Linked DNA regions of Oryctolagus cuniculus. The protein of the gene in region 3 interacts with the protein of the main gene of each other region in a pairwise test. Links are inferred from orthologs where the notes say so. Each region holds a gene or a part of one and is shown on either strand. Other genes may lie near its edges.

Evidence for each region. The genes of interacting proteins can lie anywhere in the genome.
Region 1: the proteins of BMAL1 (region 3) and CRY1 interact in a two-hybrid assay, tested with the Homo sapiens proteins (3 studies listed by BioGRID, with this or other methods). The link is inferred for Oryctolagus cuniculus from reciprocal best matches to the Homo sapiens genes BMAL1 and CRY1.
Region 2: the proteins of BMAL1 (region 3) and NPAS2 interact in binary tests that used the Homo sapiens proteins (3 or more experiments, as listed by UniProt). The link is inferred for Oryctolagus cuniculus from reciprocal best matches to the Homo sapiens genes BMAL1 and NPAS2.

The regions. Positions count from the first base shown.
Region 1 is NC_091442.1:109,558,288-109,561,787, reverse strand, and holds part of CRY1 (cryptochrome-1), read left to right. Parts: intron 1-721; coding exon 722-906; intron 907-1,281; coding exon 1,282-1,370; intron 1,371-1,900; coding exon 1,901-2,041; intron 2,042-2,122; coding exon 2,123-2,434; intron 2,435-3,500.
Region 2 is NC_091433.1:107,597,020-107,600,519, reverse strand, and holds part of NPAS2 (neuronal PAS domain-containing protein 2), read left to right. Parts: intron 1-204; coding exon 205-395; intron 396-674; coding exon 675-767; intron 768-3,500. UniProt on the Homo sapiens protein: Transcriptional activator which forms a core component of the circadian clock.
Region 3 is NC_091432.1:52,832,565-52,836,064, reverse strand, and holds part of BMAL1 (basic helix-loop-helix ARNT-like protein 1), read left to right. Parts: intron 1-1,067; coding exon 1,068-1,314; intron 1,315-2,352; coding exon 2,353-2,459; intron 2,460-3,500. UniProt on the Homo sapiens protein: Transcriptional activator which forms a core component of the circadian clock.

The DNA.
Region 1 (3,500 bases), on a different chromosome or scaffold from region 3:
TTTAATTTTTATTGATGATTGAAGAATTCCTTGAGCTTGGTTGTAATATGTTTTTCACATGTCCACATGTGTTAAAGTTTTTGTTATAGGGGCCAGCATTGTGATGGGTTAAGCCACTGGTGGCAATGCAGGCATCCAATATGGGTCCTGGTTTGAGTCTTAGCTGCTCCACTTCTGATCCAGTTTCCTGCTAATGTGCCTGGGAAAGCATCAGAGAATGGCTCAAATGCTTGGGCTCCTATATTAAAGTAGGAGACTAGGAAGAAGCTCCTGGCTGCTGGCTTTGGCCTGGCCCAGCCCTAGCCATTGTGGCCATTCAGGGAGTGAACCAGTGGATGAAAGACCTCTTTGTTTCTTTCTCTCCCTATCTGTAACTCTGCCTTTGAAAGGAATAAAATAAATCTTAAAAAAATGTTTTTGTTATTGTTTTTAGGCTACTATAGCTGCTTGATTTTTTCACTCATAAGTCGTTAGTACTCTTCATCTTAAAGGTTATGGTATTTGCATAGTGTATACTTTTGACATCTTGCAGATATCTACAAAATGAAGAAAATGTGTTTTAGACTCATTAACTATTTGAATACATTTCCTGGTCATGTAAGAAATTGTCATTCTATTAGAACTCTTATGTGATTAATTATTTTCTGATTTTAAGCCTTTTTTAGAGCTCATCACACCAATGTATCTTATATTAACTGCTCTTTATTAACTCTTATAACAGGATCATAGAACTCAATGGTGGACAACCGCCTCTCACTTATAAAAGATTTCAGACTCTCATCAGCAAGATGGAACCTCTAGAGATCCCAGTGGAGACAATTACTTCAGAGGTGATAGAAAAGTGCACAACTCCTGTGTCTGATGACCATGATGAGAAATATGGAGTCCCTTCCCTGGAAGAGCTAGGTGGGTGTGAACTGTAATAAATGTGGAACTTAACAGTTTGTAAGTCATAAATGACTCATAAAATTTTACCTCTGATTTTTCCACATGAAGTATTAATACATTAAAAGGGAAACGGTGAGGGGGGAAAGAAAGAAGAAGAAAACTGCTAAACTAAGAAATGATAATTCTGTAGTTATTTATGTGCTCTCTCTATATCTGTTGCTATCACCTTAAGATGTACATCCTAAAGAACAGAGACTATGTCATAGCATCTCTCCAGGCCCTCAATTCGCTCATGCTGTTCTCATAATTTTTCTGCAAAATAATTGTTTTCACAACTGTGATTAAATAAAAAACGTTTTAGTTCCAGAAAATTGATTATTTGTTTTTTTGTAGGTTTTGATACAGATGGCTTATCTTCTGCAGTGTGGCCTGGTGGAGAAACTGAAGCACTTACACGTTTGGAAAGGCATTTGGAAAGAAAAGTATGACAATTTAGATCATCTAGCCATGTTTTATTTCCAAGCTGGCATTTTAAAAATAATTTCATTCTCTTTTAAAAACAAAAAGTAGAATGTTGAAAAAGAAGAGTTCAGGGAAATAAAGTTACACAAACCTAAGTATTTGAAAATTAACTACCTCATTTAAATGCCCTTTCTCCTGCTTTTCTGATTATTTTTCTTGGTTATTTCCTATCTTTCTACTTAACCTGGTTTCCGATGACCATAATTTTGGAATTAGAATAGAATCCTCTGTTAACCTCAGTGGGCAGTGGAAGGTAATCTCAGGCATGTGTTGGGAGTTTGAAGGTTATGTGTTTCACATGAGTCTGTGCTGCATGATAATTGAAATGAAAGAATGCTTACTTTTCTTTCATGTTTAATAAACATATGTAACTTGTGGCTTGGATAATAAATTATTCCCAGAGAACTGGGAAACTTTTATTAAAAAAAAAATCTGTTTTGAATACTGTGTTTAAGTGGGAAAGACAATGTGATTCTTTCTGTGTTTTCAGGCTTGGGTGGCAAACTTTGAAAGACCTCGAATGAATGCTAATTCCTTGCTTGCAAGCCCCACTGGGCTCAGTCCTTATTTGCGATTTGGCTGTTTGTCATGTAGACTATTCTACTTCAAACTGACAGATCTCTACAAAAAGGTACTTTTTAAAATCAGTGCTTACCTTTCAAAATACATTTTTAAAACTTGCTGATAATACTTCTTTGCCTTTTAATCATAGGTAAAGAAGAACAGTTCCCCTCCTCTTTCTCTTTATGGGCAGCTATTGTGGCGTGAGTTTTTCTATACAGCAGCAACAAATAATCCACGCTTTGATAAAATGGAGGGAAACCCCATCTGTGTTCAGATTCCTTGGGATAAGAATCCTGAGGCATTAGCCAAATGGGCTGAAGGTCAAACAGGCTTTCCGTGGATTGATGCCATCATGACACAGCTTCGTCAGGAAGGGTGGATTCACCATTTAGCCAGACACGCAGTTGCTTGCTTCCTGACACGAGGTGACCTCTGGATCAGTTGGGAAGAAGGCATGAAGGTAAGTGTTCTAAGAACTGTAGCCAGGTCTTTGAAGGAACTCCAGATGTTGTATATTGTACAGATTCATTTATAATCTAGTGTTTCAGTGAATAAAACTTTTAATCACCACAGTATAGGCATACTTTTGGACAGCAGGATGGTATAATCAGACAGGAGAAATGCTGAAAACTGGCTAAGACAATAGACCTAAACTCATTTAAATGTTTAAAGCAGGCTGTGATTTAAGAGAACTGTAAGATTTAGCATTCTGGAGTTATCGTGTAGATATATTTATATGTATTCATTTCTGTCACAAAAAAGATTTGCCTAAGAATTCTCAGAAATAGTGAATTTATATTATAAATCTTAGAATGTAAATCATTTCACCTTACTTCAACATTGTAACTTTTTAGTAATATTTCTGTTATGTAAAGTGAAACATACTATGTTTTATGATATCATATTGTGGTTTTATGTAACAGGATTTACAAATATGTTCTCCCTTTCTGACATTATTATAAATTTTCCCTATCTAAGGACCAATTTTGAGCCTTTTTTTACATCTCCTTTATTTCCTTGTACAAAATTGTATATAAAGATGTGTAGCAAAAACTTAGTCAATTTATAATCATTTATTTAACTCTATTTTTTGAATCAAGAAATTTAAAACTTAAATTGTGTAATATTAGTACATTTTTAAAGTACATTTGTATTTAAGTGTGCTCCCTTTATCTAGGCCACTATGCCAAGCTTCTAAGTTTTTGTTGGTGATTTATTTGGTAGTGGTTTTGCTTTTTTGAAAGTGGTTTACTGTTTTTTCTCTGTTAATATCCTATCTTTTAAACCAGTGACTCTAGTAATTTTTTTACCCTTCCCCCAGTAACACTGCAAGGATTGGAAAAGTAAATTCTCTAATCTATATTACCAATATTTTTCTTTCCCTGCTATTCCTCATTATAGAACAAACAAGGAAGCTAACTGGAATGTTTTGATTTTACAGTTTTGTGCTAATTTTCTTTGCCTTGACTTTTGATCTACAGTGACCTCAAAAATGCTTGCTTTGAGAATTATGTGTGTGCAAACTA
Region 2 (3,500 bases), on a different chromosome or scaffold from region 3:
TGGTACCATCCAAGGCCCAAGGGCACTCAAAGAAGCCTTGAGGTGCTTACAGCCCAATGGCGTGACAGTCGCGAGATCAAAAGAACTTAAGCACAGTTAGGTCCTAAGTAGGCCCCAAGTTAGGCTAAAGGCCCAGGGGAGGGACATTCCATGGAGAGCTGGTGCCTGAGCTCAGTCTGAGTGCTGCCCCTCTCAATGCTCCAGGGGCCCAAGCCATTGAGGGGCTCGCAGTTGCTGCAGGCCGGCAGCCGCTCGGTGAGCAGTTTGACGTCCCAATTCAGCAGCGCCACGGCCGCGCTCCCGCCGACTCTGAATCTGACCACGCCTGCTCCCGCCTCCCAGGAGGCCAGCCAGTGCCAGCCCAGCCCCGACTTCAGCCATGATCGGCAGCTCAGGTACGGAGCCCACCGTGGTGCAGAGGCCGACCGAGGGGGTGGTTTTCAGCGATTTGACTCAGCTCCCTGCTGCAGATGGACACGGGGTCCAGAGAGATTCTAAAGTCTCTGTAGTTGGATGCAGTGAGGGAAGTGGCAGGAGAGGCCTTGGGGTCCCCACGAGCAGGGAGGATGACGCCCTGAGTTTGTCGACCTCTGAGGAAGCGGGGATGAGCGTTGGCCATAGGTGCTACGGTTTCGGTGCTGATACAATTTCCCATTTCTCTCTTCTGTTCCAAGACTATTGCTGAGCCAGCCCATCCAGCCCATGATGCCTGGGTCTTGTGAGGCGAGGCAGCCCTCAGAGATGGGCAGGACTGGACGGCAAGTCAAGTACGTGGCCCCGGGGAGGAGCGGGGAGGCAGAGAGCTGTGCCGAGTGGCCCCCGCTGGCGGCTCTCCTCTGTCGGGGCCATCAGTGCCTGCTGGGACTCGAGCTGGGAGGCAGGATCCAAGTGTGCTCTTCTTCCCCTGGTTCCCATTAGAGCAGGTCCAACTCCCTGCCGACCTGGGCAAAACAATGCATTATAGCCCAATTTGCTGTCATCTCCTTGGCCAGATCAGAGCCTGGAACCAAGAGCTTCATCCTGGTCTCCCAGTCTCCCGTGTGTGGGTGCAGGGACCCAAGCACTTGGGCTATCTTCCGCTGCTTTCCCAGGCACATTAGCAGGGAGCTGGATCAGAAGTGGAGCAGCCAGGACTCGAACTGGTGCCCATATGGGATGCTGGTGATGCCAACGGAGGCTTACCCTGCTAAGCCAAAGTGCTGGCCCCCAACATCTTCCTTGTATGTCTAAAACCCTGCGCCCTTGGTGACACCCTTGGTGGAGGTAGCCTTCTTCTCCTTCCCGGGAGCCCTCTCGAGCTCCAGGGAACCATTCTGCAGACACACTTGGAGCTTACCTGCCCTGTGGGTGCAGCACGGTGCCCCAGGATCACGAGACCCTACAAATGTAGGAACCTCCTTTCCTGCCAGACACACAGCCTTCTCTCTTTCATTTCCTTGCCTTGGTCTGTTGTCGGCAGCCGTAACGAAACACCTGAGACCAGGTACTCTGTAAGGAACAGACGTTTACTTGGCTCACGGTTTGAAGAGGCTGAGAAGTCCAAGAGCATGGCCCTGGCCTTCTTGCTGCATCCGACCCTGGCAGAAGGCATCCCAGGGCGAGACAGAGGGAGCACGCTAGGCCACGCCTCTTTCCCTCCACTTGTGAAACCAACAAGGCCATCATGGCTTCCTCTAATCATAGTCACATCCAGAGGGCCCACCTCTGAACCTTCCTAACCTATGGCTCTTGGGGCTGAGTTTCCAGCGCATGAACTTTGGGGGACGCATTCAAACCACAGCGCTTCCTCAGCGTCTTCTCGTGTGAACCCCCGGGACCAGAAGCAGCTTGGCTTGCTGCTTACTTACTAGGCAAAAGGCTGCCTGGAGATGCAAGGGCTGGTAGTTTAAAAGTTCCTGGAAGATTCCGGCTGGCGCCGCGGCTCACTAGGCTAATCCTCTGCCTTGCAGCGCCGGCACACCAGGTTCTAGTCCCGGTCGGTCGGGGCGCCGGATTCTGTCCCGGTTGCCCCTCTTCCAGGCCAGCTCTCTGCTGTGGCCAGGGAGTGCAGTGGAGGATGGCCCAAGTGCTTGGGCCCTGCACCCCATGGGAGACCAGGAGAAGCACCTGGCTCCTGGCTTCGGATCAGCGCGATGAGCTGGCCGCAGCGCGCCGGCCGCAGTGGCCATTGGAGAGTGAACCAATGGCAAAGGAAGACCTTTCTCTCTGTCTCTCTCTCTCTCTCTCTCTCTCACTGTCCACTCTGCCTGTCAAAAAAAAAAAAAAAAAAAGTTCCTGGAAGATAGTTTCCAGCCCTTTGAAACAAAGCAGCACAACAACTATTGCTCACTTTTTTTTAATGTTTATTTTGTATTTTCATTGACTCGAAAGGTAGAGTGGCAGAAACAGAAAGAGGTCTTTTATAAACTAATTAATTTTTTAAGGAATACAAACTTCATAAGTACAACGTTAGGAATATAGTAATTCTTCCCACCATACCTGCCCTCCCACCCCTCCTCCTCCTCCCTCTCCCCTTCCCAGTCCCATTCTCCATTAAATTCATTTTCAATTAACTTTGTACACAGAAGACCAACTCTATGCTAAGTAAAGATTTCAACAGTTTGCACACCCACGCTCATACACACACAAAAAAACCTGAGAACTAGTTCTACATTTAACTCTCATAATACAACTCCTTGAGGACAGAGGTCCTGCATGGGGAGTTAGTACATAATGACTCCTGTTGTTAATTTAACAACTGACACTCTTATGTATGATGTCAGTGACCACCCGTGGCTCTTGACATGAACTGCCTAGGCTATGGAAACCTTTTGAGTCCACAAACTCCGCCAGTATTTGGACAAGGCCATAAGCAAAGTGGAAGTTCTCTCCTCTCTTTAAAGAAGAGTATATTCTTCTTTGATGGCTGCTTGAAGGCGAGATCTTAACATCTGCTAAACTCATTCCCTAAAGACCTGTAATAGCCAGAGCAGGGTCAGGCGGAAGCCAGGAGCCAGGAATGCCATCCGGGTTTCCCACATAGGCAGCAGGAGCCCAAGTACTTGAGCCACCCTCCACTGTCTCCCAGGATGCGTGAGGAACTAGATTGACAGAGAGTGACCGGGACTCAAACCATCACTCTGGTATGGAATGTGGGCATTGCAAGCAGCAGCTTAACCCCTTATGCCACGACATCTGCCCCATTTTTTGCATCACCACTGGTTGAACTTGGCATTTGACATTCATTAGGACAGGGCTAGCTGATGAAGCCTGGCACACCCTCCTACAGGGGCCTTGCAGCTGGGCCGTCACACTGGGCATCTTCTGCCTGTGTCCTCCTGCAGCCGACACAGTGACAGCAGATGGTTACTGCATGCATCTCTGAGCGTCAGGGGCCTGTGTGTTCATTATTTTATCTCCCTAAAAACCCTATGATGTAGGGAATCTCTCTCTCTCTCTCTCTCTCTCTCTCTCTCTCATCAGTGAAGAGACTGCCTGTGAAAGGGTTTGGGTTACATTCT
Region 3 (3,500 bases):
CAGTCTGCCCCAACCTGCCTTCCTGCCTCTTCTCCCTGGGAGCTTCCCCCACTTCACCTCAGGCACACACAGTGCCTGCTGTTCCTTGTGTAGGATGTGCCTGTGTGTCTCTGGACAGTCTCTGCCTTGACACGTTCTGGTCCCTTAGCCACTGTCCACCCTTATTTATTTATTTGAGAGGCAGAGAAAGGGAAAGAGTGCACTCTCATCCACTGGCTCACTCCTCACATGCCCACAATGGTTGGGGCCAGGCTGGAGCTGAACCTGAAGCCAGGAACTCAGTCCAAATCTCCCACGTGGGTGGCAGGGACCCACACTGCTGCCCTCTGTGGTCTGCATTAGCAGGAAGCTGGAGTCAGGAGCTGGGAACTGGACCCAGGGGCTCCACTGTTGGATACAGGTGTCTTAGCTGCCAGGCCGAATGTCTGCTCCCTGCTCATTTTTCTTGATTGTCCCACACTGGCTTTTCTGGAGTGTCTTCCTATTCCCAGGTAGACTTAGATATTCCTTCCTTGGCATATATGATGCCTTTGGTATAGCTGGTTCTACCAGGCATATGGCGATGAATGATGGTTGTCTTATTTTTCTTTCTGCCTCTCTTTTTTAAGATTTTTTTTTTATTATTTATTTGAAAGAAAGAGTGACAAAGAGAGGGAAAGAGAGACAGATTTGTCTGTCTGCTGGTTCACTCCCCAAATGGCTGCAAATGGCCAGGGCTGGGCCATGCTGAAGCCAAGGGCCCAGAGCCTCTTCTGGGTCTCCCACATGGGTTCAGGGGGCCCCACTGCCTTCCCAGGTGCATTAGCAGGAAGCCGGATCAGAGGTGGAGTGCCAGATCTTGAACTGGCGCCCCTATGGAATGTCGGCATCACAGGCGAGGGGTTAACCTACCGTGCCACAGCACCGGGCCCCTTCTTCTGCTTCTTGCATAGGTGCTCAGTTCTAGAGAGTGGGGCCTTGGTTTTGAATTTTTTGACTCCCTACCTACATCCCACCCCGCCATCAGCTGGCTAGGCCTCCATGACCCAAAGCCAGCCCTGACACTAACCATGGACTTTATTTTCTAGCAGATCGAAAAAGCTTCTGCACAATCCACAGCACAGGGTATTTGAAAAGCTGGCCACCCACCAAGATGGGGCTGGACGAAGACAACGAACCAGACAACGAGGGGTGTAACCTCAGCTGCCTCGTGGCCATCGGACGGCTGCACTCTCACGTGGTTCCACAGCCAGTGAACGGGGAAATCAGAGTGAAGTCCATGGAGTACGTTTCTCGGCACGCCATAGACGGGAAGTTTGTTTTCGTAGACCAGAGGTAAGGGTCGTCTCGTTCCCTCGAGGCCAGGGTGGTAGAGGGGTTGCAGCCCAGAGCTGAGGAGCAGGGGAGGCTGAGTCGGCAGTTAGCTTGTCCGAGAAGAAAGACCGGGTGGGACGTGGTGAGGGCCTCCGCTGGGAAATGAGGCCCAGGACAGCATCGCCGTCAGCGTTTAGAGACAGACGCGTGGGGCCGAAAGGGGAACGCTAGGGGTCGCTCCCTGTCTGTGTGGACCCACACTGTGACTGGTCGCTCCCTGTCTGTGTGGACCCACACTGTGACTGGAATCGGGGAGTACAGGATCTGGAAACAGTTACTTCCCCCCGAGTTATCTAACACGGGAGTCATTGCCATGGTAGCCTCATGTGGCCAGTTGGTTTTAATTGAATCAATTAGAATGAAGGGTCCACTTCCTCAGGCTCACCAGTCTCACTTTTAGCATGCAGCTCTGTTGGGCAGCACTGGTCTAGTCCAGCCGCCTCATTCAGTGGACGAGGAGCTGAGGCCTGGCCTGGGGACCGGGCTGCTGCAGGATTCTCAGCTCATCGGCAGCAGGCCTGGGATGGGAGCCTAGATGTGCTAAATGCCTGCTCCCTGCTGCCTCCCTTAAAGATAGCCAGAGGCTACAAAACTTTCTGGCTACCAGAGACAGCCACGAAATGCTAGAAAAGGCCGCTTCTTAATGTTCTGTGGCCTCAGCTGCTGGGGCACCAGCTGGTTTGGTTATTCTGATTCAAAAAAGAAAAGAAAAAAGAAAAAGGCCAGTGAACGAGTGAATGCTATCTAATTAACACGGCTGCCCCTTTAGAAACCGCTAAACCTGATCTCTTGTGAGAGCAGCCCCTTTGGAAGGCTTCTTTGCTTTTGCTTTCCTCTCTTATAGCCTTGGTTAAATGCAGATACCTGGGGAAAAAAACAAAAACCAAAGAGCCGCACAGCAAGCCCTCTCCCACTGTGACGTGCGCTCACCTGCTCAGAGCTGCGACTACTCGGCCGCGTGACTTTGTCATCGTTAAAAGTGTCCCCCTTCCCTTTCAGGGCCACGGCTATCTTGGCATATTTGCCGCAGGAACTCCTAGGCACGTCATGTTATGAATATTTTCACCAAGATGACATAGGGCATCTTGCCGAGTGTCACCGGCAAGGTAAGCGGTGTGGGAGAGAAGGCCTGAAGTGGGAGGTGTCCCCTTCTTCCAGCCTGGTCCCCGTGACCTGGCAGGAGCCTGCCCTGGCGTGGGAGGCAGGCAGGGCTGAGAGGGAGGCAGGCCACGCCCAGGCACTGCTCAAGCCCCTGGCGGCTGCCCGGCCCGCGACTGCGCAGCAGTGAGGGTGCATCTTGTTCAGAGTGTTTGTGCAGATCCTGTGAGCTCCGCACGGTCCAGGCCCATCTGAGTGTCTTTTCCGAAGAAGCTGGCCTGTGCCGTCTTTCTAACTAGTGTTTGGTGTGTTTGCAGCCCTGAGGGAGAAGCCAGGGTCGATCCCTGCCTTGGCGGCATCTCTACCAGACCCAGTGCCTTTGCCTCAGGGGCCCCTTCTGTCACATGCCTGCTGGGACGTGGGCTTAGGCCCGGCGCCTGCCTGGAGACCTGACACAGACTTCTGGCAGGTCTCCCTGCTCCTGCTCATCCCCACTCCATCTTCTGTAGTGATCTCATTTGTCCTGGGACAGAGGGCGCCTGGGCACGTCTCAGCCCAGCTGTCTCTGACAGGCATTGGAATCCAGGCCCTCCCACTGCCTCAGTTTCCCCCATCCATGCCTGCAGGGGTGTCGCTGCAGCCACACTGCTCGTCCCCTGGGGCCCTGCCCCGCCAGGCCCTGTCGTATCTGCTCACTCCCGAGGGCAGGAGTCACATCCTGTCTCCTCGTGCGGCTCTCGTGCTTGGCCCCTGCAGGGCACTCACGGGTGATGGCTGCCCGCGGGACCGGGGCTTGAGCAGGCAGGTGGCCTCGCTCCAGCCCGCAGCTCCATAGCTGCGGCAGGTGCTGGCTGCCTGCAGGCCCCGTGGCTCCTGCCTCTCACGCTGGCGTTCAGCTGAGAGCAGACCCCGGTCAGGTGTGTAGATGCAGTCGCTCCCTCCCTGGAGCCGTCCTCTCGGAGGCTCCGGGAAACTGTGCCAGACTCACGAATGAAGTGAGACTCCGGCGTGGAGTGCCGGCCCCTTGGCTGTCCAGGGAGATGGTGCCA